Caenorhabditis elegans: one gene and its partners. The protein of the gene in region 2 interacts with the protein of the main gene of each other region in a pairwise test. Each region holds a gene or a part of one and is shown on either strand. Other genes may lie near its edges. The genes, in order: rpn-2, pkc-3, num-1 and par-6.

Region 1 (5,840 bases), on a different chromosome or scaffold from region 2:
AACGACATCTAGAAGGAAATTTGGAAAAGATAGGGATCGTTTGCCAGAGAAGTCGTCTTCTGATAGAGGAAGAGATGTTGGTTTTTATTATTTATATTGTTTTAGCTTAAAATTTCCCGATTACATGTTTTCAAAATCAAAATTTACAGAAACACCTCGACACTCCCACCAAAAAACGTGTAAACCAGTCTCCTCCATCGCGGAAAGCAGCTCCATCGCCTGCTAAAAAGCCAGCCATATCCACGTCAACACCAGCGGTCGTTGTTCCTCCGAAGCCAAAGCGAGATCCCGAAGAGGAGTTATCAGACGGCGAGATTCTATCAACTGACGAGGAGGATAATTAAATTAATTTTTTACTTCACGTTTTCGTTATTAAAATTTTCAGAATTTATTCATTCATTTTTGTTGCTGTTTCATTTGAATAACACAGCAAGATTTTGAGGCCAGAAAGGATCTCTTGTTTAACAAAAATAAATTTTTTGTCATTATCGCTTGACTTCAATTCATGTAAGTGAAATGTTCTTCATTTTCAGGTATACACACAAATACAAAAATCAGCGGGTTCATGTTGATTCGAAGTCAAACATAAATAGAGTAGAAGGGGGAAAATAAATTAAAAAAGTTTTGAATGGGATTGGGGGAGCGAGATAGAGTTGATCGAATGATCCAGCAATTGATCAAAAATCGTTGATATTGATCTCGAACGTCGAATGGGGTTTGTTTTCGGTATTTCCAGAGCTCGCAGGAGTATTGACCTGAGTGACGACTTCACTGACAAGCTTCTCCTCTCTCTCCTTATCAACACGATCCGCCACAATAATTCCACCCTTGTAAAGTGGCTTCATGGGACTGTAGGCTCGAGCGTCACTGATCGAGATTAGCTGTCGTTGAGCAGGAATCACACGAGCTGGATTCTGTAGGCGGTGCAATGGCTTCGTGTCCTTTTCTGGAGCCTTTTCTTTCCTGAAATAATTGTAAGTTAATTTGGAAATCTTGGTTTTTTAATTTTTATGACAAAAAAAACGAATTCTACTTTTCCTAGACACTCATTCCAAACTTACTTGGATTTTCCTGGTTGATCAACCTCCATTTTCTCATCTTCAGCAGCTGGTGCTGTTCCTGAAGTGGACGATGATGATGGGGCAGCAGCAGCACTAGAAGCGGAAGCTGCAGCTTCTCGTCTTTTTTTCTCCTCAGCGATCAGCTTCTTTGACGCATTCTTCTTTCCGGTGATGGACAGAACAACAGTCTCAATCTTTTTGACATCCTTATCCTTCTTTGATTCGGCTCGTGGTGGATAGGCAAACTTCTGACTATTGGCATGGCAGATGTAGTCAAGTACTGGAATCTTCAGATTCTCGTTCATCATCACAAGGCATGATGGCTTAGCAGCAAGGGCGATGAAGAAATGCATCGAGTGCCAGAACCATCCGTGAAGGAAGCACATCATTCCGACCATTGATCCCATATCTGGCTGCTTGTCAGAATTTTGCATTGTGACCGCAGCGTTCTGCCCTCCGATGTCGAGAAGTCCTTGAGCAATAATTGCTCCAAATTTGACAAGAGAGTCCTCGTTCTTCTCTCCGATCTGACAAACATTTATTGAAAAACTTGATTGTTTTCTTATAGAGTTACCTTTTTGAGCAATTGCTTACGGAAACCGTTCACCTTGGGACAAGTGTAGTCTGTCTGCTGGCACATGATGAGAGCAAGTGAAAGAAGTGCTCCTTTACGAACGAAACCTTCCTTATCAGAAATCATTGGCTCAATCAGAGCAATAGCTTCCTGAAAAACAATTCATTATATCAAACCCCGGTTTCAGAAAAAAGTATCTTACCATGTTTCCTGTTCCAGCACAAGCAATTCCCAGTGCCATAGCTGCTCCGTATCTGACATGTCCATTGAAATGTTCGGTGAGCATGGCCACGTAGGATAAGCAGGTTGATGGATCCTTGGAGAGAACGAATCCGATACCAATTGTAGCGTATCTCTTGACATCCAAATTTGGATCGGTGGCTACTTTCTCGAGAAGACGGCGTACTACATCTGGAGATCCGGTTCCGGCGTAAGCCATCGACAGCATACAGATTCCAGTGGAACGGAGCATTGGATTGCTCTTAGCTCCGATTGCTTCTTTGATGTAAGGCTCAGCATCTCCTTGGAGTCCGAATGCGGCACAGGCAAGTCCAGTTCGGATACCACGTTGAGTTTTGTCATGCTGTGTGTCAACAGTGTATTGCTTGAGCTCATTGAACACCTCTTGATTCAGATGTCCAGCCATGATAAGGCCCATGGCGATTCCTGCGGATTCTCCGGAAACTGCTTCATCACGTTGGAGAACTTCCCGAACTTTCTCGTAATTCGAAACAGAAGACGATCCAAGTCCAGCAACTCCAAATCCAAGACAAGCTCCGTGTCTCACTGGCTCGTTTTCGGCGGTTTTGAGCCACTGAGCCAGAGTGCTCATGGCAGTTGCATCTCCGTGTTTGGCGTGAATCAATCCATATGCCAGCATTGCTCCTCCCTCTTTAAATCCAAATCCTTCGACAGATTCCTTTGGCAAATATGGCTCAAGTACCTTCATTGCAGACGATTCTTGTCCGTGATGAATGAGTCCAAGTGAAGCGACCGCATTGAACTTGTTCCAGTTCGTAGCTTTGGAAACCCAGTTCAAGTTGTTACGGAGGAAATCGTCACAAGTAGTTCCATATTGCATAAGACCATTTGAGATGAGAAGAGCATTGTGGGCAGAGGCTGTTCGAATGTTCTCCTTGATCTCTTCCATTAGAACAGAATCAGTGTGATTATGACGGACAAAGAAGTCGAGGTAAGCCTTGACAGTTTCATGACCTTTGAGAATTGAATGAATCTTTTCCATCGACTTCTCATCACGAGCATCCTGCTGTTGGAAACGTTTCAAAACTCGATCGAGGAATCCTTGACTCGCTGTTTCATATAAATCAAATGCGATCTGATATGCACGAGTGCTGAGAGACTTCGCGATCAAACTCGTAATCGTGTCAGCAGCGGCCTCGGCGTTATCCGTGAGCACGTAACACTGAAAATGTTTATTTTGTAATTTTACTTCGATATTTGTATAAATCATACCTCGCAAATCTTGGACATGTCCGGCGATGGGCACTTCAAGTACGTCTTGATGACTGTATCGATAACTTGGAATCGGAATGAACGATCGAACGCGCCATTGACAACACGGTTGAGCGTTTCGACAAGTGTAGCTGCACAAAAAAGAATGACGTTTCAGCTTAGTTATTATTGACTTACTCTGATTCTTGATGGTCAAATCTGCAGGCATCGCGCTAATGGCCCTGTCGATCATAGCCAGATTGGTCGTCTCAAATCCTAACGAGATGACAAACCATATCTCTCGTTTATCCAGATTTCTAGCAACAATTCGGTCGATCAAATCTCGGAGTTTCTGAGGAATTCCAGATCCTTGCTTGCTCAGCGTCTTGTACGTGTCAATGGCCGTCTCGATGATCTTGTTAACATATTCTGCGTCGTTTCCAAGACCGGTTCTTGTAGCAGGAACGACGTTGAAATCACCACGAAGAGCAAACTCCAAAGCACGTTCATACTGCTCCAAGCAGAAATAAACTTTGGAGACGAGCAGTGCAGCGGATGAATGCTCTGGGAACGTGTTGTTGTCAAGGAGCTGCTCTACAGCTGGAAGGGCGTCAGCGACCTCAAACCATGTGTTCACAAGAACATCCCAATCGTTAAATGCTTTGAGAACGAGCACTTTGTCGGTCACTGCTGATTTCGGTGACTCGAGAACACGAATGAATGCGGCTGAAAATGAACAATTCACAACGTTTCTTGATAGATATTAGTTTTGATACCTGCGTTTGAAGCGCCTCCTGGCTGAGATCTCCATCTGTTCAACAATGTCAACATCTGAAAGAAATCAAAATTAAAAACAATCCGAAATGAGAGCAGCTAGGAGAAGATAGTTGCGAAGCATAGTTTATTATAAAATGTTTTTCTAGGTTATCAGAAAAACAGCTTTCTCGTCTTAAAAGACAAATTAGAAAACGTCTAAAAATAAATCAGGCGTTTTAGAAAATCATAAAATTACTCAAACACCAACAATGGATGAACCGAACGAAAAGAATGATTGCGAATGACAAATTTCGTCCAAAAACACATACATTTTCAGATAAAAGCTGACAATTTCGCGGTTTCCCGCTGTGGTCAGAATTGTCATCCTCCGCGATGTGCGTCAACTAATCGATAATTGCGCCAGCACATGGGTGTTGGCGCATTTTCTTCAAAGTTGTTTTCTTATTTTTAGACAATATTTTTCCCAGCAATTCCGATAAAAATAGCATATTTTAATTTTTAAAATCAGATAAAAGTGTATTGGTGTCTAGTTTGACCGCTCTAATGCTTAATTTTTCACTGATCGTCTCAAAGCTATGCGGTGGTTACTGTATTAAAGGCTCATTGCACATAGTTATGACATTGGTTTCAGTCTGACTTAGTTTTTGTAGTTTTCAGAGGAACATTTCCGAATTTTCTAGAACTTTCTATATCTTCGAAAAGCTTACCTTTCTGCGTGTTGGATATTTTCGGCCGAACTAATCAATAAAAGTTTATTGAATAATTTTCTTTTTCCTTTGAAAAACTAGTTTACCAATATATTCAATTAAAATTTTACGTTTTTAGGCGTTTTATGTTTCCTGGTTCAACATGGACAGTTATTGTAGAACAAATCGCCGAATACGAAGAGGTTATTGATCCAAAAGCGTTTTTTGATAAGGTAGTTATTGTAATTTGGAATATTGTAATTGAAAGAAAAATTCAGATTATCAGTCTTTGGAAGGAATATCCAAACGCTATCAGTAACAGAATTACAACTTCAGTTTCAGTGGATACAGATTCAGATTTATGGAATGAAGTTTTAAGAACATTTGAAACACATTACAAATTTTGCCCGAGAGATTGCAGCGAAATAGCTATTACGAAAATCATACACAAGGATCTCGCTAATAATAAATTCTCAGATAATGCGTTTGAAGTTTCTTACTATGAAGGTTTGTTTCGAAGTTAGTCTTCTTTTGAAATGATGTTTTTGTTTTCAGAAGAACTCCTTGTACGATTCTACCCAATTACTCTCGATGGAATGCAACACCCACATTTCGAGAGCCCGTATTCAATTGCCATTAAAATCCCAACAGATACATCCATTCAACTTCAGTTTTTGAAGCAAGCTAATTCCTCTCAAGAACATTTTGAATTTATGAAGAAACAAGCATTCAAACAATTGTACACTTGGTTGAAAGGAATTGATCTTTCAAAGTGAGAACGCTATGATTTAACAAAGTCTAAACGTTTATTGCAGATCATCTCGAAAGACAAATTCTCTACTCGACAAAGAGTCCTACATCAAGACATATCGTCATATTCGAGAGGATTATGGCAGAGGAATGATCAAAGGATGGACAGAAAACTCTAATCCACAAAAATCAATTTTCGAGGATTGTGGGATTGCTTCATATATAAATGTAAAATTTATCTATTTCAATAAAATTCCCATCTTTCAAAATATTTTTAGGAGCTTGTCAATTCTGATCTCCTACCAAAGCCGAATAAATTCGTGGATATTGGATGCGGAAATGGTCTTCTTGTTCATCTTTTGAACAAAATCGGAGTAAGATTTTTTTTTTAATCGAAAATTGATTTAATTATAAAATTCATTTGATTTAACTTTAGATTTAAAAAAATAAATGTTTAGATGTCTGGATACGGAATTGACGTTCGTCATCGAAACATTTGGAAGACCACTCTGAAAGATGTGGACCTACGCGAAATGCCTG
Region 2 (6,509 bases):
TTTGTGTGGTTTTATAATGATGTTTCTAGAAAATATATGCATATTTTCAAAATGAATACATTGGGAAACACGGAGTTGAGAAAAACACGCTGGGTTACTGTAGCAGAAAAATGCCAGTCGTGTCAGGACCCTTCATAACTTTTCAGAACGATGGGAGATCTACTTTCCTGCCTTTGCTATACACTTGAAGTATCATTCTTCTCTTATCGCCATACAGACTCTTCTGGAAATGGAATACAACATTGTACGCCATATCTTCAATATAAATGTAGGTTTTTTTTCAGTGATTTCCTACTGTAACTTGGTTCAATTTTCAGATGAAGCTCTCGGCGAGGCATTTTGCAGAGCACTTCTCAACTTCTATGAAGCCGACTGTGGACTACGAGAGATTGTGCTCGAACGTCCCTTTAAGACTTTTCTACCCGCCCGCGCCCAGAAAACTTTGAAAAAGCAAGCGAGGAAGGTGATTCAGACTGTGATGATGAAATGAATTGGCGCCCACATTAGAACTGATAAAGACCATTGAAATGCAATTTTTTTTTGTTTGTCAATAAATAAGTAAGGGAAGTGGTCAAATGGAAGAACATGTAAATTGAATTGAAGTTAAATCGAGTTCCACACGTGGCACAAAAGAAGTGTCAGATGGCGAAGAGACTACATTGATCGTAGTCTTCGCCGCAATTTTACATATATTTCAGGGAAATGAATGAGCTGACAAGAAAAGTAACAAGAAGGTGTATTTAGAAGGGGAGGTCATCAAGCATTAGGTATTCCTAGCAAGTATGAATAGTCTAGATTTTAACAGAAACCAAAAAAAATCACAACCTTTTCGGGATTGTAAGATACCACAAGACGAGTAGAAGTGATTGTTGCGAGAAAATGTATAACAGATGTTGAGAAAAAGAAAATAAGTTAGGATACTGATTATGCCACGAGTTAGTGTGTCATAGTATCGTATAAGACAGTGGGCGAAGGAGATGGGATTCGAGAATAATAATAAAAATCACAAAAAAGTATACCGAAGAAAATAAATATTTGGGACTCGGGGGATGGTGGGGGAATCAGACTGAATCTTCCCGACTCATTTGTAGAGGATTCACGTATTCAAATCCATCAAATTCTGATTGATCAATTCGTGCAATAACATCTGGATTGTCAGGTGATAATTGTGGAAGTTCGTCGGTGAACTGAAAAAAAAAACAAGCATTTTGAATTAGTTTTAAAATATTTTGATTCAATAATTTATTAGTAAACAAAAACTAATTTTTTTTTAAAGTTAAGTTCTGAAGAAATTAAAATTACCTGATGATCAAAGTGTGTCAAATCGCGATCACTTTCCACAGCTGGATGATATGGAGGTGCGACAGCCTTCTGTTCCAAAGCTTCCCAATCAATGAATCCACGGAAGAATTGATGTTCTTTCATATCACGAAGACCTTCATTAATGTCAAGCTTACATCCCAGACGTTCTGTTGGATCCTTGTTCAGGAATCCCTTTAGAATACCAGAAGCCCGTACAGAAAGTGATCTAGGGATTCGAATCTGTCGTTCAAGAATGATTTGGAAAAGATAATCTTCTGTATTTTCCTCGGAATTCTGCATTCCAACAATATCGAATGGAGATCGACCAGCCATCATTTCAAACCTAAAACGATTTAAATAAAATAAATGTTCAACCAAAAAAGGCTTACATTAACACTCCCAATGCCCACCAATCAACACTGAATCCATATTCATCACCTCTCAATATTTCTGGTGCAATATAATTGGGTGTTCCACAGAAAGTTGAAGTTAAATCTCCATCCTTAATATTCTCTTTACACATTCCATAATCTGTCAGTTTTATGTGTCCTTCAGCGTCAATCAGAACATTGTCCAATTTGAGATCACGATAAATGATTCCGCGAGAATGAAGGAAATGAAGAGCAAGAATTATTTCACCCGAATAGAATCGAGCGTGCTCTTCTGGAAGCTTCCGTTGCTGTTGCATGTGGAACATCAGATCACCTCCAGGAACGAATTCGATGACAAAGAACAGGCGGGATTCGGTCTGAAATTATCAAAATTTTGGTTTAAAATTTTTAATGCGAAAATTTGAGATTTGAAAAAATCGAAGAAAAAGAAAGTTACCAACCTGGAAGCAAGAATGTAATCCAACAAGGAATGGATAATTTGACGCTGCTTCGAATACTGACTTCTCCGTCTGTACCCAATCGATATCTTCATCTTCATTGAACATCTCCTTTTTGATAATTTTTATCGCGTAAATTTGACGAGTTGAAACATGTTCTGCTTGCACAACTTTTGCATAAGATCCACGTCCAATAACTGTTAAAAGACGGAAATCGTTCAGAGAAACTGCCCATTTTGACGACCCATTTCCATTCTGAAATATTAAAAAATTTTAGTATTTGAATCTATGTAACTTTAAAAATACTTTTCGCCGTTTCTTTTTATCTGATACTGGGAAGCACTGACAGAAAAGTGCCATACGTTGAAATATTAAAATATTTTGATATCAGGAAGAAATCAGAATTCGCAGCGAGGAAGGGAATTGTGGTTGGAAATGAATAAAAATTTTGAGAGCAAGAGAAAGAGTGAAACTACAAAAACTTGTTCATCCAAAAAAAAACAAAAAAATGTAGTTGAGTCTAGAAATCTAGAATGTTTTTCAAGAGTTACATATATCACGTATCTAGAAATTTGAAATTGAAATTGCAACAGGAAGAACCTAATATTTAATTGAACTTTGGATTAAACTTAATTAAATATTTCAATTAACTACCACTATTTCAAAGACTTTCCAATTTAAATTGTTTTTTTTAACAAGAGTTATTTCATTTTCAGCTATTGTAAATCTGAGACTTTTCAGATGGTTTTATTTAAATAAAAGTTATGTTTTTTTGGAAATAAACTAATAAATTTCAAAAAAAATTAACTTTTCTGAATATTAAATTAAATTTATTACGATCCCTCGGAGACGTGAAGACAAAGATATTTATATCAAATTTCAAATATATTTTATTTCAAATTTTGGCTCCAACTTCAAAAGCTTACCATAGCTCTGCTAGCATCATGACTCGTGGATCCGGGTGATTCGATTTCGTGCTCGTGGAATGCTCCGTTATCAATTCCTCCACCCGACCGCGTTGTAGATGAGCTTGTATTCGATCGAGCACCCTTTAGAGAACCACTTGCAGGAGCCATTGGGATAATATTCGGGCCTTGGAGAGCCTGAAAATGATTTAGATTTTTATGAGGAATTTAAAAATTTAAGCTTTAAACCTGTTTTGCACAGAAATTTGTAAAAATTGAAAAACAGAAGTCTGGGAGGTCTTAGTTTCAAAATTTTGGAATAATTTAGAAGCTATCCTCGCTACAAAAAAAAAGAATTACCTGACCACAATGCGTTCGCACATGCCGATGGCATTTTTTGTGCACGCATAAACGACAATCCACACATCGAAAGCCTTGCCGTCCAATTCCCCATATGTAGTCATGACAAATAAAGCATTGAATACGGCTGAAAAGAAAGAAGCTCCGGAGGCTGTAAATCAGAAAAAAAAACCTACCGATTCAGCCGTTTCGCTTGGAATCGATGCCCATTGTACAGATAAATTTTCTTCCATCGTCGAGCACCTCTTCGATATACAGTTTCTGGAAAAAAAACATTTCTCAGACTCGAAAATTTCCGATTTTTCCTCCGACAAATTTCTTGTTAAACGCGAGAAATTGTGTGCCTTTAAAGATTACTGTAGTTTCAAACTGCGGAAGTTTGATCTATTTTCCAAAATTCCAAAATTTATGTGTTTCTAATTGTTTCATTTCAATCTTTTTATAAAAATTGATAGAAATTCCGCTTTACAGTATTCTTTGAAGGCGCACATTTTTTCGAAATTCTAAATAATTTTTCTGATAGCTTCATGATACTTACTGTCTTCTCCTTGACACGGAAGCCCGGGCAGCTCTGGTTTTCCAACAAAAACGTGAATGTTCAACTCGGCTTCTTGACTAGAATTCAAACATCGAACTGCTTCATCAAGTTCCATTTGTGAGTCTATTGAGATTGGATCTCCATCTTCATCAATCCATTTTACAGTAATATCTTGTTTTTTGTGTTGTTTACAAGCATCTTTCAAAAGTGCAAAAAAGTCATCGAGAATGAGCGGTGGTCGAGCATAGAGTACTACTACCTGGAATTTAATTTTTATTAAAATTTGGGAGTCTGGAATTTTTCAGATTAAAAAAAAAAAGTTATACAGTAACAAAAATTATTTTTCAATTTTGCAGAATTTTTAAAAAATCAGTGGTTGTTTTTTTTTAATTTTAGCCGGAAAAGAGCTTTTTAAGTTTTAAACACTATTAATCAAATCATTAAAAGTTCAGAAAAATTAATTTTTTACAGTTTTATTCGGTTATCACGGTCTTTTTCTATTTTTTGTCTGGAATTTTCTCTCTGTTACGAATTTTTAAAGCTTTGACAAACTAAAATTTCGCATTGACGGCGAAATGATTTACACATTCTCACTGCAACGAAAAATTCATTTTTAGGGTATTTCTCGATTTTTGAGCATTTCAAAAGCCACTTTTCATATCTCACCTGTCCTTGAAACCTCGTTTTTAGCTTAATATCTCCGTCCTCCTCTAATGATGTCGGAGACGACATTCTGAAATAAAAATTGAACTAAAAACGGTTCAAAAAAAGGAGTTCTGAACGAAAACTGCGAAACTGAAACAGTGACGAGTTGGCAGTATTAGAGTAAAAAAGGGAAAAATGACTCATGAATAAACATGCACATACACACACACACACTGTTATAGCTATATATGCATTGACGCTCTATCGAACACCCCCATTTTGTCCAAGTGTACAGGTCAGTGAGAGCGGCCCAGCTTTGAAGAGGCATAGAGAAATGAATAATCACAGGTGACCCTCACAAACACTGTACAGGACGACGATGCGCGCGCACCGACTAACACGGGCGGTCTAGGAAAGTGACAAAAAAGTAACAGAGAGAGAGTCTCGACACATATTGTTTGTTCCTGAACAGAAACAGTTATATTCGAATACCGAGTTTATTTTACGGTTATCAAGCAATTTCATGAATTTCAGAATTTCAGTATCAAAATGAAAAATGAGTATAAATAAACCGTTCAGATAAATACTAGGGATACGGGGGAAATTAGAGATGTAAGACATTTAGTGCTTCTTGAAGTACTCTTGGCTTTCTTTGACTCCTGGCTTGATGGTGTCGGATCCTGGAGTCCATCCAGCTGGGCAAACCTCTCCGTGCTTCTCGACGAACTGGAAGGCCTGAACAAGACGAAGAGTCTCATCAACAGAGCGTCCGACTGGAAGATCATTGATGGTGATTTGACGGAGGTTTTGTGATGGGTCGATGATGAAGAGTCCTGAAATTTTATTTTTCAAATAAAGTACGAAAATATGAAGGATTCCATTCAGAATATAACTCACCACGGAAAGCAATTCCTTCGTCCTCCTTGAGAACTCCGTAATCACGGGAGATTTGGTGGTTGGTGTCAGCGAGAACTGGAATGTTCATCTCTCCGAGTCCTCCGTGCTTGCGTGGCTGGTTGATCCATGCCAAGTGAGAGAAGACAGAGTCGGTGGAAGCGGCGAGCACAACGGTGTTGATAGCCTTGAACTCCTCAGCACGGTCAGAGAAGGCGATAATCTCGGTTGGGCACACGAAAGTGAAGTCAAGTGGGTAGAAGAAGAGCACAACGTATTTTCCCTTGTAGTCAGAGAGCGAAACATCAACGAACTCGCCATCAACGACGGCTTGAGTCTTGAATTGTGGAGCTGGCTTTCCGATGAATGCTTTCGACATCTAAAAATTAATTAGTTTAACAAAAAAAAATAATACCGCGATAAAATAACAACCACAATCACAAGAACAACAATACGACAAAAAATGAAAAGGATATTGAAACCCAACGGCAACGAATTTGTTTGCAATGTGAAAAGAAGGAGAATAAGGTGACGGGCGGTGCTTATCTAATGGGAATGAAATACATTGGCAAAATTGGAGAGCGACGAAAGAAAAAAAATCGGAGGACGAAATGAGAACTAATAAAACATTCTGGGAACATCTTTGAAAAACCAAATTAATTGTTATAAAAGTGAGTGATCATGTTAAATAACAGAAATCGAGGGGTTTAAACTTTTCCGTGATTTAAATTAATATCTAAGTAACCAAATATATTTTTAAAAAACAAATAAGAAATGCACCTTTGGAGCGAGAGACATGATTTCACACTGCAATTTTTAATAAACATTTCTTTGCATCTTCCAAGAAACGAAATAAGGTCAGTCTTTTTATAACATTGCCACAAACTTTCATCATCATGTGACGCGATTTTTGCTGACAATTGTCGCGGCAGGGAGTAACAGACTACAACGTTTAGGAGGAGCGAAAATCTTAGGGTTCAAGGTCACTTTTAAAGAAAATTCAAATATTATTACCTGTCTATACATCTTGGCGCAG
Region 3 (7,531 bases), on a different chromosome or scaffold from region 2:
TCGAAGCAACATCCAAACTAGGATAGTATTCACATCTACCATCAATATAGCTTGCTCGTTCACACGCTTGTGAATATGACCTCAATCTAGCTTGAGAATGGGCTAACTTCAGTGCTCGAACTTTTGACGCGACACCACACCGCGCACGATGACCAACGTTATGGACCACCGCGCGCACGTATTCAGTGTCTATGAGAACCATTTGATGAGGTCTGTTCGAGTGTGAAAATAGGAGAAATGTTGATAAGGAACTTTTTTGTTATAGGGAAATGGTAAAAGATGGGGGTTTACTAGTCATATCACTTGATGGATTATGCAAATTTCCAAATGACGTTGAAAAGGATCGCCGTTTTGAGTGTCAGAAATATGGAAATCTTTGAAAAAAAAATACAGTTTTTGTTTTTTTCAGTTTAGAACTTAACAAACTTTATCAAAAAAAATCAGCGAAAAATCGCAAATTTTCAGATTTATTTTTTGAAAACATTAAAAAACAGTTTTTCCAACGTTTTTCTCAATAAAATGTATTTGTTTAGTGCGGAAAATCGCAGAAAATAGATGTTTCCAACTGAATTTCCGTCGATTTCGCGATTTTTCCTCAAAAAACATAAATTTATCAAAAAATTTGAGCATTTTTGGAAGAAAACTTATTTTTTACTCAAAAATCGTAAAACTTGGCAAGACCCATTTACCGAGTTTTTAAACAATTTTCCCATATTTGTGATTTTTTCCTAGGAAATCTTGATTTTTTCCCATAAAACATTGCGGAAAGTTTGGAATTAAAATAAAAAAATAAGAACGCGCAAATAACATGCAAAATCAAACCTTTTTCTCAGGAGATCTCTCCGTTGGATTATTCGACACGGTCCTTAACGACATATTTCGCTTGAATTGATCAGAAGACGATGGCATATCGGGTGGTGCTCGAAGGGATCCCTGAAACTTTGAATTTTCAAGTGGTGTCAAGTTGTCACATGTGAAATTTGGAGATCAGCCAAAAATAGCAATTTTTAGGTGAAATTTTCAATTTTTTGATCAAAAACCAGCGAATTTTCTTTTTTTTTTAAATGATTTTCGTCAATTTCGAGATGAAAAGATTTGAATTTCAATTGAAAACTCGTATTTCAGCCAAGTTTTGGGGATTTCGTCATGATTTTGCGTAAAAAAACACATAATTTTAGGTTGAAAACCATTTTAATGAAGCAAGGTGTCAGGTTGTACGATGAGAAACTCAAGCTGGGAAGACTAGATTTTCAGTCAAAAATAGCTGTTTTTAGGTGAAATTGTCAATTTTTAGCTTAGAATCCAATAAAAAAAAGAAAACTCGCTGGATTTTGATCTAAAAATAGCTATTTTTGGCTGAAAATCTAGTCTTCGCAGCTCGAATCTCACATGGGACAACCTGACACCACAAAAAACGAACCTGTCTCAAAAACAGAGCCGGATTTCCAGTTGGTCTCGGCTTCGATATCCTTCTAATCTCATCCATATGATTTGATGCCGGTACCTCGTTAATAATTACTGATTGTGGATCCAAATATCGATCTTCAATTGAAACGTGCTTCCGGAACGACTGATAAGCCAGGTTTGAACGGGAATTCGAAGGGTTTTGAGTTGAAGTTCCTTCTGATGTATTATCCTCCCAATTTGGGTGGAATATATCCTTTGGTGGAGTGGATGAAGTTGATTCTTGCGCTGATTGCACATTTACTTGAGCTGTTTCTTCGTCTCGTCTTTTCTTTTTTTCCAAACATATTGAAAATGCACAACCGACAGCATGCGAGAGACGTTCGCCCTGAAAATATTGCATTTTTATAGAAAATTCGGCAATTTAGGTCGAAAATTGATAAATTCACTGCTTTCATTGCCTCCATTTTCCCAAATTTGTCGGAAAACCTGGAAATTTTGCATAATTTTCTGCATTTTTCTTGCTATTTTTTAAAAGATTTCTTAGCAATAAGAGTAGTGGGATTTGTCAATTTTTTACCTAAATTCCCGAATTTTCTGCCAATAAAACATATAAATAGTTTTTTCTGAATAAAATTACCGTTTCCTTGGTGGCTAAAAATCCATGGCACATCCACCGCCTGGATGCTCCATCTCTGCAGATGTACGCGAATCCTTTGTCAGTTTGTCTGTCGGGTGCACAAAATGAAACTTTCTCAATAGTCTGATCTACCAACAGTCCTCGACTGTTTCCCTGATCGACAACACGTAATCCGTCTCCTGACACGTACAGAACTGCCTTTACAGGCTTTCTCCGTGAAGCTTTCAGCGATTTCAGTGCGCCTTCACAAACTTGCATTCCACGAGACTCGTACACTTCCACTGATCCTAGATATTTTACATTGAAACAGCACGTACCCGTTCGTACGGCACCTTCGTCTGGCTGCCACTGTTCAGTCTTCGAACCGCCCGTTACCTGGAAAATTGAGCATTTTTTGGGGAAAACTTGAGGTTTTTGGAGAACATTTAAAAAATTCTCGATTTTTTTGCGGAAATTTGGTCGAAATTATATGAATTTCAGACTGTTACTTGGTTGGAAAAATGGTGATGAAATCCGATAAAAGATAAAAACTGATTTCCAAGTAAACTTCGGAAAAATCGATTTTTCACAGGTTTTCACGTACATCTGGACTCAAATGCCTGTCATGACTCCTATCTCTTCGCTTTTTTGGCAGTCTGAGCGATCTCCGTAGCCGGTCCATCCCTTTTGAGAATATTGAGCTAAAATTCACATAATGTACTTAAAAATATAGAAATCGACATGAAGAATAACCAAATCGGCAAATTTTAAGTTCTAGAATGCATTAAAATCAATTTTTCGCATTGTTTTCGAAAATTTTGCTAGAAAAAGCAGATTACCATCGAAAATCAATAACAAAATTGATGAAAAATTGGGCAAATTAGCGAGGAAATTGGTGAAAGAATTGAGCCTCACGAGTGGGGAGAGATGAGAGAACGGGGTAACGGAATCTGTGGAATTTTTTTATTTTTATTGGGGTGTCACATTGAATTTTTGTAAATAATGTTTTGCTTCTTTTGTTATATATATTAATAAATATTTTATTATAATATTTCAATAAGAAAAACTATGAGAAAATTCAGTTTTTTAGCTGATATTTTCCGTTTCGTTTCCCTGAAAGCAGCTCAATTTGTGTGGCCTGGCTAGTTTAATAGAGCGCACTTGCAGTTTTCGGAGAGCTCAACAGATAATTTGAAGATTTTAAATAAATAAAAAAGACTTGGCAACTGTTTGTAACATTTTTCCTTTAAAAATTAGTACCTTTTATCGTTCGGAATTGGCATTGGAACAATTGCGGCGTCAAAACTTGGTTGCTGTTCAGAGACTAAAGAATTCTGAATACTCTTTGTCTTTTTCTTCCTTCTCGATATTCTCGACAGTCCTCTCGTGAATACGTTTCCCTGTGAAGCGCTCATCTGAAACAAAAATCAAAAATTAGTCAAAAATATCGGGAGAAATCGGTCAAAAAATGGCAAAATAAATGGAAAATGAAGAGCACTTTTAAATGATAGTATGAGAATTTCGCGTTTGGGACCCGCTACGATGCAATTCAAATTTATGTTGGCAAAAAATGCATGATTCATAGCCAATGACTGTAAAACAGAAATTTCAGTCAAAATAGGACAAAAACTGAAACCACCCGTCGCTCTTATCAATTCCATCACATTGCACCGAGCCTTATTGCACAAAAGAAACACGACAAACGACGAGAGACTGTACAAAAGACAAGAGAGTGCAGAGATGTAGAGGGAAAGTTCCGTGCCTTCTCACTGTCCTGTACACAGTCTCCAATACACATAGAAACGGAGACAAATGACCTCTTTTTGCCGGCGTGATTCTCGATGATATTTGACAGAATTGCATAAAAATCGAGGACTTTTAGAACACTTCTATTTTTCGTGAAGAATCATTTTTCAGATGCTAAATTGTCTTAATTTGCGCTTCGAAAACACGGTACCCGGTCTCGAAACGATAAATTTTAGTTAAATGCCAGAAGGATGCGCGTCTTTAAGAAATACTGTACTTGGGCTACAATAGGGAATTTAAAAAACTACGATGCTTTTAAAGGAGGACTAACGATTCGGACGATTTTGAACGTATAGACCCAAAATGAGCTCAAATGAACAATTCATTATTTCATAATAAAGCTTCTGAAAAATGTTTCAAAAATTTTTTACGGCGGTTCGAAATTTCAAAAAAATAACACTGTTTTTAGTTAAATTCTCGAACTTTGGCCATTTTTCTGAGTCGCAGCGGCCCGATGATGACTTTTGAATTATCGTCCTTTATTAAATATTTTCGTTTATCTCACTTAATTTCGTCGATTAAGGTGCATATGAAGCCAATAGGTAATCAAAAATCATCGAAATAGGTTGCCTATCGGCTTTAAATATTCTTTAATCGACGAAATGAAATGAGTAAACTACAAAAATATTCAATAAAGGATGATAATTCTCAATTCGAGATTTTAGCTATTTAAAAGCAGTGTATTTTTTTCGAAATTTTGAATCATTTTTGAAACACTTTTGAGAAGTTTCATTACAGTGTTTTTTTTTCCAACTTCTACGACTTTAAAGGCGCGCGCATTTATACAAAATGGCCCCGTCATTGGTCTCGCCACGCGCTCAACAATTCAATGGAATGCGCGTGGCGAGAACATTGCGCGAAAATGCGCGCGCCTTTAAAGTCGTAGAAGTTGGAAAAAAATGCACTGTAAAACATTTGCTCATTTGAGCTCATTTTGGGTCTACTTTCAAAATCGTTAGTCCTCCTCTAAAAAAGTTTTTACCTGATTTTTTAAAATTTTTTACTGAAATATAAAAAAAGAGATTCCTATAATTTTTCATAAATGTTCTAGGAGTTTTTAGCGTTTGTTTTTCAACGTATTCTGTTAAAATCCTATTCTTAGAAAAGTTGTTCCGCCGAATTCCGACATGAAAAAGTTTTCGAAAAATTTGTCAAAAAAATGTTTTGAATTAAAAAAACAATTCTAACAAATTTTTGTTTACAGTATACTTTTTGTTTAAAGCATACATTATAATATGAAAATTAGTCTACTAAAACGAAATGGTTGGAAAGCAAATTTTATTTCGTGCAGTGAAAAATGAATTTTTCAACATTTTGTGTATGATTAAAAATTAAAACCTAACATCTCATACCTGGCATACCTGTCACGCAGGCATCAAAATGTCAAGTCACTGTTCAACTAATCGTGTGCAACATCATGCTTCTCACCATTGATAAAATTCTATATTTTCAGAAACTTTTGTTATATTTCTTAAAACCCTATATCTCGAATCCGAACTTTAGTATGACCACTTACTGTATCACACAACATCAATCTCGGTGCAGTATATCTAGACTCTTGATCCCAATTTCTTGGTCTATGCCTCATAAACGGAACAATCATATTGTCGAATTCTGAAAAAAAAACTTGTTAACGAATGTGCGAAATTAATTTTTTACAATCAGTGCCAAAAAATATTCAGAGTATCGCGACAAAAATAGCTGATTTGTGCAGAAACTGAATGTTCCGCCTCCTTTTCACCCGATTTCCGACTGTTATCGCCGTTGATAAAGGAGGTCATACTATAGACAACCCCTTTTTCTTACGTGTGATAGAGGGAGAAATACGGAAATTTTGTAGGGAAATAAGTCGTTGCAGACGTCAATGATCATTTTGAATTAGCAACATGTACGGATGGAACTTTAACTTTGCTCACGAGTATTTGAGATAGCAGGTTTGAAATTAGCACATTGCTTAGCGTGTAAACTATTAAAGATACCAGGAAAATACTATTTTTCCAAAACTCACCGCATTTATCGTAAACCCATATTGTAGAGGTGGCACTTCTTGAACTGCGATCCAGACCATCATACTTTAAACCAAGAATAGTTTGTTTGTGAAATCTAAACTCTATTGGCGGACGACACTTGTAAAACATAGTGTTCGATGAACCTTGCTGATGAACTATCCAATTCATAATAAAGTATAGTCAAGAAGGACTCTCGAGTCAAAATGTAAACATAAAATAAGTTTTGAGATTAGTAGAACCCAGCTTGTTCCCACGGTAGTACGTATCCATAACACTTCCACAAAGATCAATGTGAGTAGTCAATACAATTGTGATGTTACAAAAAACTTTACTTTAATTATTTTCTTAAATTTGATGAAAATTGATATTTTCACTTGCGTTTTTTTTTAATTTTCAATCTTACAATCAAGGTGGTTAATTTTTTTTCTTTGTAAAGAATTAACGGAAGACCTTGTAAACTTAATGATAAGATAACTGAGATTACAAAGGAAAGTTCAAAAAGTTAATAGTTTGAACAGATGAACTTATTACATGTTCAAAAAGTCAACATTTGCGTAACCAACATGGGTGAATTTACTTGCGAATTACTACAAGTTATTTCACAACAACAACATGGAACATGGAACATGGTTAAAAACAGGCTGTGACATTTTACAATGTTTATCCGATGAAAAACAATGTTTCATTTTAAAATAAATTAATTGTTTGTACAATAATCGTTGTCCTCAAAATCTTTGAAACCCCATAATATATCCTGTTTTTTATACTTCCAAGTATTAATCATAGAAACGAATAGAAGAGCTTTAGACCTCCTTTCAGTTTTTTCTTCTTCATCTTCCTCCATCTTGTCCAAAAAAATGACGTGCGAGAACACACTCACATGAAAACTCACAAAACACTCACACAACGCCTTCAGCTCATCGATTTTCCTCGAAGCCGTCAGCCATGAGCGAGGAGAAGAGCACATGAGCTCCTCTCTCTTCAGCGTCTTTACTCTGCTGTTCTGCGAGCCTCAAAATCCTTTCGGTCTATAACCGTCTGTCTGCTACTCTGGCAGTCGGCTCTCTTTTCGTCTGCCAGGAGAGCCAAAGCGACGCATTCACATTTCAGCACCAAACACGGTTGCCCGAATGATCGGTGCCGTTTCTTTGGTTTTCTTTACTGTCGGAGTTGCAGCTATCTATGGATTAGATTTGGAAAACGTAAGTAAACTCATATTTTGTTTTGTAGGCTTAGTGTTTTTCTAATTCCTGAGCAAGTGAAATAGATTTTGAAATTTTCAAATATTACTTTTTTAACGATTAAGGTATCTGTATTAATTTTCATATATGAACTCCAAAGCCTCAAACTGTGAAAGTTGAGTTTCAAGGATTGCAAATTTATTTCCGCCATAATCAAAATTTTTAGTGATGACTCACACTAAGATTATTATCTAGTGTTCCTAGTCCATTTTTTTTCGGATTAAGGATACTCAAGGAAAATTGAAGAAAAGGTATACATTTAGTCAGCTTATTCAAAATTCAAAATTTCAGGCTGGAGACTTTGTTCTTCCATCCGGAGATTTCATTGATCTCATCTCACGTGACTCTGAAAATCTTCCGGATCTCTCCTCTTTTGGAGTCAAGCATATCTCTGGTGGAGCTGGCGAGGGAGAACAGAAACTTCTTGAGGAGGACAATTTCCAAGAGAGGCA
Region 4 (7,287 bases), on a different chromosome or scaffold from region 2:
AACTGAAACTTCAGATTTGCACAGATTTTATAACATTAAATCATCAAAAAATCACTCAAAGGTAACATTTTATTACAGACTTTTCATTACTGGGCACTTTTCAAAAATGCTGTACAAATGGCGCAGTGGGATTTTCGACGAAAAAGCTTCCAGTCAAAGGACCGTGGTTCGAGTCTCCACTGTGGCAAACTTTTTTCCATAGTGTTGTTAGGCTAAACTTTCAATTCTCAACCCAAAAATTATAATATCAATTCCTAAACAGCAGAGAAAAACCTTGAAAAATAAGAATTTGAGAATAATCAGCGGAATATCGGCTGAAAATGTAGATTTTCTCAGTTTTTAAAGCCTTAAATCGTCAAGAACTCAATAAAATTCAAATTTACCCGAAATTATGTCATTTCTGGGAAATTGTCAAAAATGTCCAAATGGAGCAGTGGGATTTTCGACGAAAAAGCTTCCAGTCAAAAGGCCATGGTTCGAGTCCCCGTAATGGCAACATTTTTTTCACAATGCTGATCTCTCAAAGCTTGAAATAAATAATTTATTCTCACTAATAATGTGAATTTCAGGGGAAAAATTGTATGTCGTGTCTGTTGTCAAAAAATTTGAGCCAAAGTTCGAAAAAAAAAGTATGGGCTCAGAGAGCTCTGAAGGGGAAAAATCACATAAAAAGGGCGAAAGGAAGGCACATTTTGGGGCGAGAAACGGGGGAAATAAAAGTGAAAATTGTGCGCAAAAAAGTGAAGAGAAAGCCGACAAATTTGATTAAAAATTAGGAGAAAAAGGGGAAAATAAATAAATTAAGCGGTTTTGGTTGTGTGTGTGTGTGGTTTTAGCGAGAATATAAATAATATAATTATGTATAAAAATGGTCACATTTTGTGGTTTTTTTTTCTGAAAAAATCGAGGAAAAATGGCTGAAAAGAGTTTTTCAGTCCTCTCCACTGTCCGAATCATTTGCGTCGTGCTGTTTCGGATGATAACTGCCGTCGGAGCTTCCGTTCATTTTCATCGGGCGCTGAATTCCACCTGTAGCGGCTGCGGTGGCGGCCGACATCTCACTGGCGTTCGGTGTTCCTTGTTGTGACGGTCCTCGTGACAGTGTGTTTCGTTGGTTGGCAGGTTTTACTGGAAAATATTGGGATTTTTTGAATTTTCAAAAAAAAAATAAATTTGAAATTTTTTTTTCGAAAAAAAATTTCTGAAAATTTTGTTTTTTATAATTACTACAGAATTTAAAATCAGCTCGCTGAGAGCTTCCAAACAAGTATAATCATGACTAGGCTATGTTTATTTTGAACATTTTCCGAAATTTTGGGTCCCGCCACGAAAACTGGGTTACTGTAGGTTGGGATTTTAGTGGGGGACCCAGTTTTCGCGATTTCATTTAGATTTTTCGATTTCAGCTTACCGAGCTTTCAAATAAGTATAATTATGACTAGGTTGGCGGACATTTAAAATTTTCCAAAATGTTGGGTCCCACCGCGAAAGCCAATTTCGTGGTCGTGCCCCAAAATTGAAATTTTAGATTTTTGTTAAATAATTCAACTTCCGCTCGCCTAGAGCTTTAAAATAAACATAATCAAGACTAGGTTATGCGAAATTTTAAATTTTCGGACCCCACCACGAAAACTGGGTTACTGTAGGCAGCGATTTTCGTGGTGATACCCAATTTTCGCTATTTCAATTAGATTTTTCGATTTCATCTTACCAAGAGCTTCAAAACTAGTATAATAATGACTAGGTTTGGCGAAAATCTAATTTTTTCCAAAATTTTGGGTCTCATCGCGAAAATCAGTTTCGTGGTCGGGCCCAAAAATTGAAACTTCTCAAATTTTTTAGTAAATTCGTTTTCAGCTCATCAAGGGCTTTCAAATAAGTATAAACACGACAAGATTGCGTCACATGCGAAAATTTTGGGTCCCATCGCGAAAATGGGTTACTGTAGTTTATCATTTTCTTGGCGAGACCCGAATTTTCCAAGTTTGACAGAATATAGCCATGATTATACGCATTTGAAAGCTCTCGGTGTGCTGAATTCAAATTTTCTAATGAAATTTTTTAAAAAGTGGGTTCTCGCAATTTTCGCGGTGAGACCCAATTTTTTTCAAAATAATCTTAACCTAGTCATGATTATACTTATTTCAAAGCTCTCGGCGTGCTGAATTCAAATTTCCGGATTATATACCAGTAATAATCAAGTTATGAGCATTGGCGACCATCATATCAGTGACCTGATCCAGCGTCTTTCCGAGAACCTCAATTCCATTCACCTCGAGCACCTGAAAACCGGAATTTTTAGATTAAAAACTCTGAAAATTCCATTAAAAACCTCGTCATTAACACCAAGAAGGCCTGTGGACTCGGCGAGCCCACCATCGACAAGCCGGGAAATGAAAATTCCTGAAACTTTGACGACGCCTCGTTCTGTCACTCGAACCGATGTTCCGTCACTGAAAAAAGAATTGCAGATTTTTGGGATTTTCTGGCAAGAAATCTGAAATTTCCAGAAAAATCGATACCGAATATAGAATCCAAGTGGTCGTTCTTGTCCGTGCTTGCAGAGACGGACACGGCGATGAGCTTCTGGCACAATGTCCACGTCGATGATTGCAGAGACCTGCAAAATTGAAAATTTTTAAAAATTAATGGGAAATTTGAATTCAGCTCGTTAAGGGCTTCAAAATAAGTATAATCATGACTAGGTTTTGCCAATTTTGAAAATTCTCCTAAAATTTGGGTCCCGCCACGAAAAGTGACGAAATTTTAGAAAATTACTGCGAAATCTGAATTCAGCTCACTGGGAGCTTTCAAACAAGTATAATGGAATGACTAGGTTCCGCGAACTTTGAAAATTGTTGGTCTCGCCACGAAAATGGGATTACTGTATGTTGGCATTTTCGTGGTGGTGGGATCCAATTTTTGAGATTTTTATCAATATTTTTGAATTGGGAGCACTGTCAGCTTTAAAACTAGTATAATCATGGGTTCCGTTAACTTTGAAATATGCGGGTCCCACCGCGAAATTGGGGTTACTGTAGGTTGGCACTTTCGTGGCGGGACCAGATTTTTGCAATTTCATGAGTTCAACCGAATTCAGCTCACCGAGAGCTTTCAAATAAGTATAATCATGACTGGGCTCCGGAAAATTTGAAGATTTCCAAAATTTTGGGTCCCGCAGCGAAAATTTCCTTCGTGGTGGGACCAAAAATTGAAATTTTCAAAATTTTTTCCGGAATTTGAATTCAACTCATCAATAGCTTTCAAATAAGTATAATCATGACTAGGTTCTGCGAAATTTGAAATTTTTGGGTCCCATCACGAAACGGGATTACTGTGGTTTCGATTTTTCGTGGCGAGACCCAACTTTTTTCAAATCCATCGTAACCCGGTCATGATTATACTTATTTCGAAGCTCTCAGCGAGCTGAATTCAAAAATTCCACTTTTTTCGCTGTGAGACCCATTACCTGTCGAAAATCTTCGGGATTCGAGATTGAATAACTGCGTTTCGGTGGTTTTTGTGCCATAAGTGATGAAATTCCCTTCCATCGTTTATCAGAGTCTGTACCATAACCATATTTCTCTTCCCATGATTCACCGCGGCGTTGAATGAGCAAACGGAGCAGTGGGCGAGCCGATTCGAACGATTTTCGGAGGTTCTGCAAAAAAAATAATGGTAGTTTTGGGATTTTATCGATTTTTGGGATTTTTCTAGGAATTTATCGATTCTTTTTGTGATTTTTATTGATTTTTTGGGGATTTTTTACCGAATTTTTGTGATTTTTCAACAGATTTTTATCGATTTTTTATCGATTTTTTCCGATTTCTTGGGGTTTTGTATTGATTTTTTAAAGCGATTTTTGAGTTTTTTTGTAATTTTTTATCGATTCTTTTTGTGATTTTTATTGATTTTTTGGGGATTTTTCACCGAATTTTTGTGATTTTTGTTTCAATTTTTTGAGACTTTTTTCGATTTTTTTAAATCAATTTTTTGTAGTTTAGGACTTTTTATCGATTTTTTAAGATGTTTAGTGATTTTTTAGCGAAATTTTGTGATTTTTATCGATAAGTGATGTTTTAGTAATTTTCAGCATTTTTTAGTGAAAAATATCAATTTTAGGTCATTTTTACTCGATTTTTCTCGATTTTTTCACCGAAAAAATCAATTTTCTTCAGTTTTCCCTACTAACATTCAGATTTTTATAGACTTTTTATCGATTTTTATCGATTTTTTTTTGAGATTTTTATCGATTTTTTGAGTTTTTAAATCAATTTTTAATTGATTTTTTGTGATTTTTTTCGACTTTTCTGTGAGTTTTCAAATCGATCGATTTTTTGTCCTCGTAGGAGACACCCGAATATTAAATCGATTTTTTTATTATTATTATTTTTATTTTTTAACGATTTTTGAGCTGTTTTAAAAATCGATTTTGACTAACTTTAAGCTGAAAAAATCAATTTTCGAGACATTTTAATTGAATTTTTAGCATTTTTTAGTGAAAAATATCAATTTTATGTCATTTTTACTCGATTTTTTCGTTTTTTTTTTCACTGAAAAAATCAATTTTCTTCAGTTTTCCGCTACTAACATCGTCATTTGTGATTGGTAGAAGATCACCGCCAGTCGAGTTGTAGCACAGTGTGAATTGGACACTTTCCAGGTGATGAAGCTTCTCGACAAGGCTGAAAATATCGATTTTTACTTGAAAAATTGAACTTTTACGGGAAAATTGCTTCAAAAATCGAGTTTTCAGGTAAAATATCATTTTCCGCTCGTTTTTGGTAAAAAAAAACACAAAAAAAAAGACGAATTTTTCGATTTTCCGGCTGAAAATGGCGAAAATTCGATTTACGCATGATTTTAGCCCTAAAAATGCCGATTTTGGCCAAGTTTGGTTTGGAAAATAGATTTTTTAGGGTTTTCAAGGTAAAAATCGGAAAAAATCTGATTTTTTCAAGTAAAAAAAATCATTTTCCGCGTATTTTAGGACAAAAAACGCCGAATCCTTGGATTTTTCAGCTGAAAATCGTTGAAAATCCGATTTTCTGAATTTTAAGGGATTTTATGCCTAAAAATGACAATTTCAGTAACTTTTGGGTAGAGAAATCAATTTTTAACGTTTTTCTACGTCAAAAACATGGGTTTTGACGTATTTTAGGTAAAAAAAAAACGCTGAATTTTTCGATTTTTCGGCTAAAAATGGCCAAAAATCACCTCCGGAACCCATCGTAAGAGACACCAGACGCAGAATGCATTGGTATTGAGAAACGACGCCATTCAGAATCAAATTTCGATTTGACTTGAAGTGTTGAATGATGATTTTGATGGTAGGAGCCGTTGTAGGACATCTGAAAATTTGGATTTTTCGGGTTTTTTGAGCTGAAAAACGCGATTTTTAACAGTTTTCAGCTGGAAAATTGGAAATTCCGGCTTTTTTTGAGTAGAAAAATCGCATTTTTCGACGTTTTCCATACTTTTAAGCTGAAAAATTATGATTTTCGCAAATTAAAACTCACAATTACAAGTTACAGGTGCAGCTCCGCGTTGAGCCGGAAATAATGCACAATTTTCGTGGGAAATATCGATTTTTTCGGCTGAAAATTGGATTTTTTCACATTTTTGAACCTTTTTTAAGTGAAAAAATTATTAAGTGAATAATTTTTGAATTTATTAATCAAAAATCGGATTTTAAATAATTATTCAATGGAAAAAATTGAATTTTAATTTAAAAGTTAGAGTTTTGAACAGTTTTCAACGGAAAAAAAAACTGAATTTGAGTTGGAAAATAGACATTTTTAGGAAATTTGAGTAGAAAAATTGAATAAAAATTCCAAAAAATGGCAATTTTGAACATTTTTCTAGCGGAAAATGAAATTTCAAGCTAAAAATCGCATTTTTTGCGATTTTTACAAAAAAAACCTTCAAAACACCAAATTTCCGCTGAAAATTGAGTAAAAATGAGTCACAAAACTCTCCAAAAAAGTTTGATAAAAACTGATGACTCATCGCCAAAAATTTTCAATAAAAAATCGATAAAAAAGCTGATAAAAACAGCGAAAAATTCAAAAAAAAAGGTTAAAACTAAAACAAATCTTTACGCAAAAAAATGGAAAAAATTGAAACGAAAAACCGTGAAAATCAACAAAAACTGGGGGGCAAAAAAATGGATAAATTACGGGATTTTTCGCCGAAAAAATGGCGAAAAATCACAGAAAAATGCAATAAATTGAGGGGAAATCCTATTCTTCATCGTCTTCTTCTTCTTCTTCGGAATCCATTTCAAGACCTTCGAGTTCCTGGAAAAAATGGGTTTTTTTGAGTGGAAATTTGAGATTTTTTGGGGTTTTTTAGGCTAAAAAATGGGATTTTTGGAGGTTTTTTATGTTGAAAATCGGAAAATTTGATCATTTTAGGCAGTAAAATCGAATTTTCATCTTGAAATTAATCAATTTTATGAGAAAAACTCGAAATTTCGAACAATTTTTGGAATAAAATTGCAATTTTTCGCGTTTTCAAGTAGCTTTTCACTGAAAAATGTGGGAATTTTGGCGTTTTTTCCATAGAAAATCGGAATTTTAGTGAGAAAATTTCAATTTTTTGATAGAAAATATGAAGTTTATCACAAAAAATTCACTTTTAAAGTGGAAAATCGTGAATTTTCAGCCAAAAATGCCAAATTTTGTAAATTTTGAAGCTTTTTCTTCGGAAAAATCCAGATTTTTTGCATTTTTTTTAGCTCAAAAACAGAGTTTTCCATGGAAAAATAAATTTTGAGTAAAAAATGTCTAATTTTTCAGTGAAAAAATGGGGATTTTAGCGAATTTTTACATTTTTCCAGGTTTTAAAAGGGAACGTTTCAAAAAAGAAAAAAAAATTTTCGGATTTTCACCGAAAAAAACTCGAAAATCGACAATTTCCAATGAATTTGCATGTTTTTCATGCAATTTTTTAATAGAAAATCGTAAATTTTCAGTAAAAAATCGATTTTTCAGTGGTTTTTTCCAGAAACCTCATTATCAAAGAGGCTCTCATCAATTTCGACTTCATCTTGTGCTCCAATAAGTGTGACGTCAGAGAGATTGAGTGTAGCGTCACGAAGGAATAGTTGACGTCCTGGAAAATATTGGTTTTTTTTGAAATTTTCAGCGATTTTCAGACGGAAAATCACATTTTTTGTGAGATTTGGAGCCAGAAAATGGGATTTAAATGAATTTTTCGCCTGAAAAAGTTCAAAATTTCGATAATTTTGGCGTAGAAAATCGCAAGAATCGGGATTTTTATGAT

Evidence for each region.
Region 1: the proteins of pkc-3 (region 2) and rpn-2 interact in a two-hybrid assay, tested with the Caenorhabditis elegans proteins (one study listed by BioGRID).
Region 3: the proteins of pkc-3 (region 2) and num-1 interact in binary tests that used the Caenorhabditis elegans proteins (3 or more experiments, as listed by UniProt).
Region 4: the proteins of pkc-3 (region 2) and par-6 interact in binary tests that used the Caenorhabditis elegans proteins (3 or more experiments, as listed by UniProt).

The regions. Positions count from the first base shown.
Region 1 is NC_003281.10:6,197,264-6,203,103, reverse strand, and holds rpn-2 (26S proteasome non-ATPase regulatory subunit 1), read right to left. Parts: upstream 3,925-5,840; 5' UTR 3,919-3,924; coding exon 3,864-3,918; intron 3,814-3,863; coding exon 3,286-3,813; intron 3,240-3,285; coding exon 3,109-3,239; intron 3,059-3,108; coding exon 1,838-3,058; intron 1,786-1,837; coding exon 1,636-1,785; intron 1,589-1,635; coding exon 1,062-1,588; coding exon of another isoform or gene 1,058-1,061; exon of another isoform or gene 964-1,057; coding exon 678-963; 3' UTR 510-677; downstream 1-509. Other genes in the region: sna-3 (NADAR domain-containing protein), read left to right, coding at 1-76, 150-344; C23G10.7 (putative tRNA (uracil-O(2)-)-methyltransferase), read left to right, coding at 4,697-4,783, 4,829-5,057, 5,106-5,322, 5,366-5,528, 5,579-5,674, 5,759-5,840. UniProt on the Caenorhabditis elegans protein: Acts as a regulatory subunit of the 26 proteasome which is involved in the ATP-dependent degradation of ubiquitinated proteins.
Region 2 is NC_003280.10:5,378,185-5,384,693, reverse strand, and holds pkc-3 (Protein kinase C-like 3), read right to left. Parts: upstream 4,668-6,509; 5' UTR 4,667-4,667; coding exon 4,601-4,666; intron 4,194-4,600; coding exon 3,935-4,193; intron 3,658-3,934; coding exon 3,573-3,657; intron 3,524-3,572; coding exon 3,397-3,523; intron 3,235-3,396; coding exon 3,058-3,234; intron 2,387-3,057; coding exon 2,135-2,386; intron 2,051-2,134; coding exon 1,692-2,050; intron 1,646-1,691; coding exon 1,303-1,645; intron 1,188-1,302; coding exon 1,062-1,187; 3' UTR 525-1,061; downstream 1-524. Other genes in the region: ccpp-6 (Cytosolic carboxypeptidase 6), read left to right, coding at 147-268, 318-490; Peroxiredoxin prdx-2, read right to left, coding at 5,201-5,412, 5,477-5,852, 6,254-6,271.
Region 3 is NC_003283.11:20,828,286-20,835,816, reverse strand, and holds the start of num-1 (PID domain-containing protein), read right to left. Parts: upstream 6,007-7,531; coding exon 5,838-6,006; intron 5,444-5,837; coding exon 5,346-5,443; intron 3,439-5,345; coding exon 3,284-3,438; intron 2,731-3,283; exon of another isoform or gene 2,725-2,730; coding exon 2,628-2,724; intron 2,420-2,627; coding exon 2,045-2,419; intron 1,793-2,044; coding exon 1,421-1,792; intron 934-1,420; coding exon 823-933; exon of another isoform or gene 203-822; coding exon of another isoform or gene 1-202. Other genes in the region: sbt-1 (Neuroendocrine protein 7B2), read left to right, coding at 6,969-7,040, 7,371-7,531. UniProt on the Caenorhabditis elegans protein: Involved in the tethering and targeting of pkc-3 to modulate the intracellular distribution of the kinase.
Region 4 is NC_003279.8:12,667,690-12,674,976, reverse strand, and holds par-6 (Partitioning defective protein 6), read right to left. Parts: upstream 5,598-7,287; 5' UTR 5,520-5,597; intron 5,352-5,519; coding exon 5,218-5,351; intron 4,686-5,217; coding exon 4,592-4,685; intron 3,662-4,591; coding exon 3,470-3,661; intron 2,723-3,469; exon of another isoform or gene 2,657-2,722; intron 2,621-2,656; coding exon 2,523-2,620; intron 2,454-2,522; coding exon 2,333-2,453; intron 2,283-2,332; coding exon 2,189-2,282; intron 1,129-2,188; coding exon 932-1,128; 3' UTR 530-931; downstream 1-529. Other genes in the region: T26E3.4 (RWD domain-containing protein), read right to left, coding at 6,243-6,299, 7,013-7,116. UniProt on the Caenorhabditis elegans protein: Necessary for apicobasal and anterior-posterior asymmetries associated with cell adhesion and gastrulation during the first few cell cycles of embryogenesis. Required for localizing/ maintaining par-3 at the cell periphery.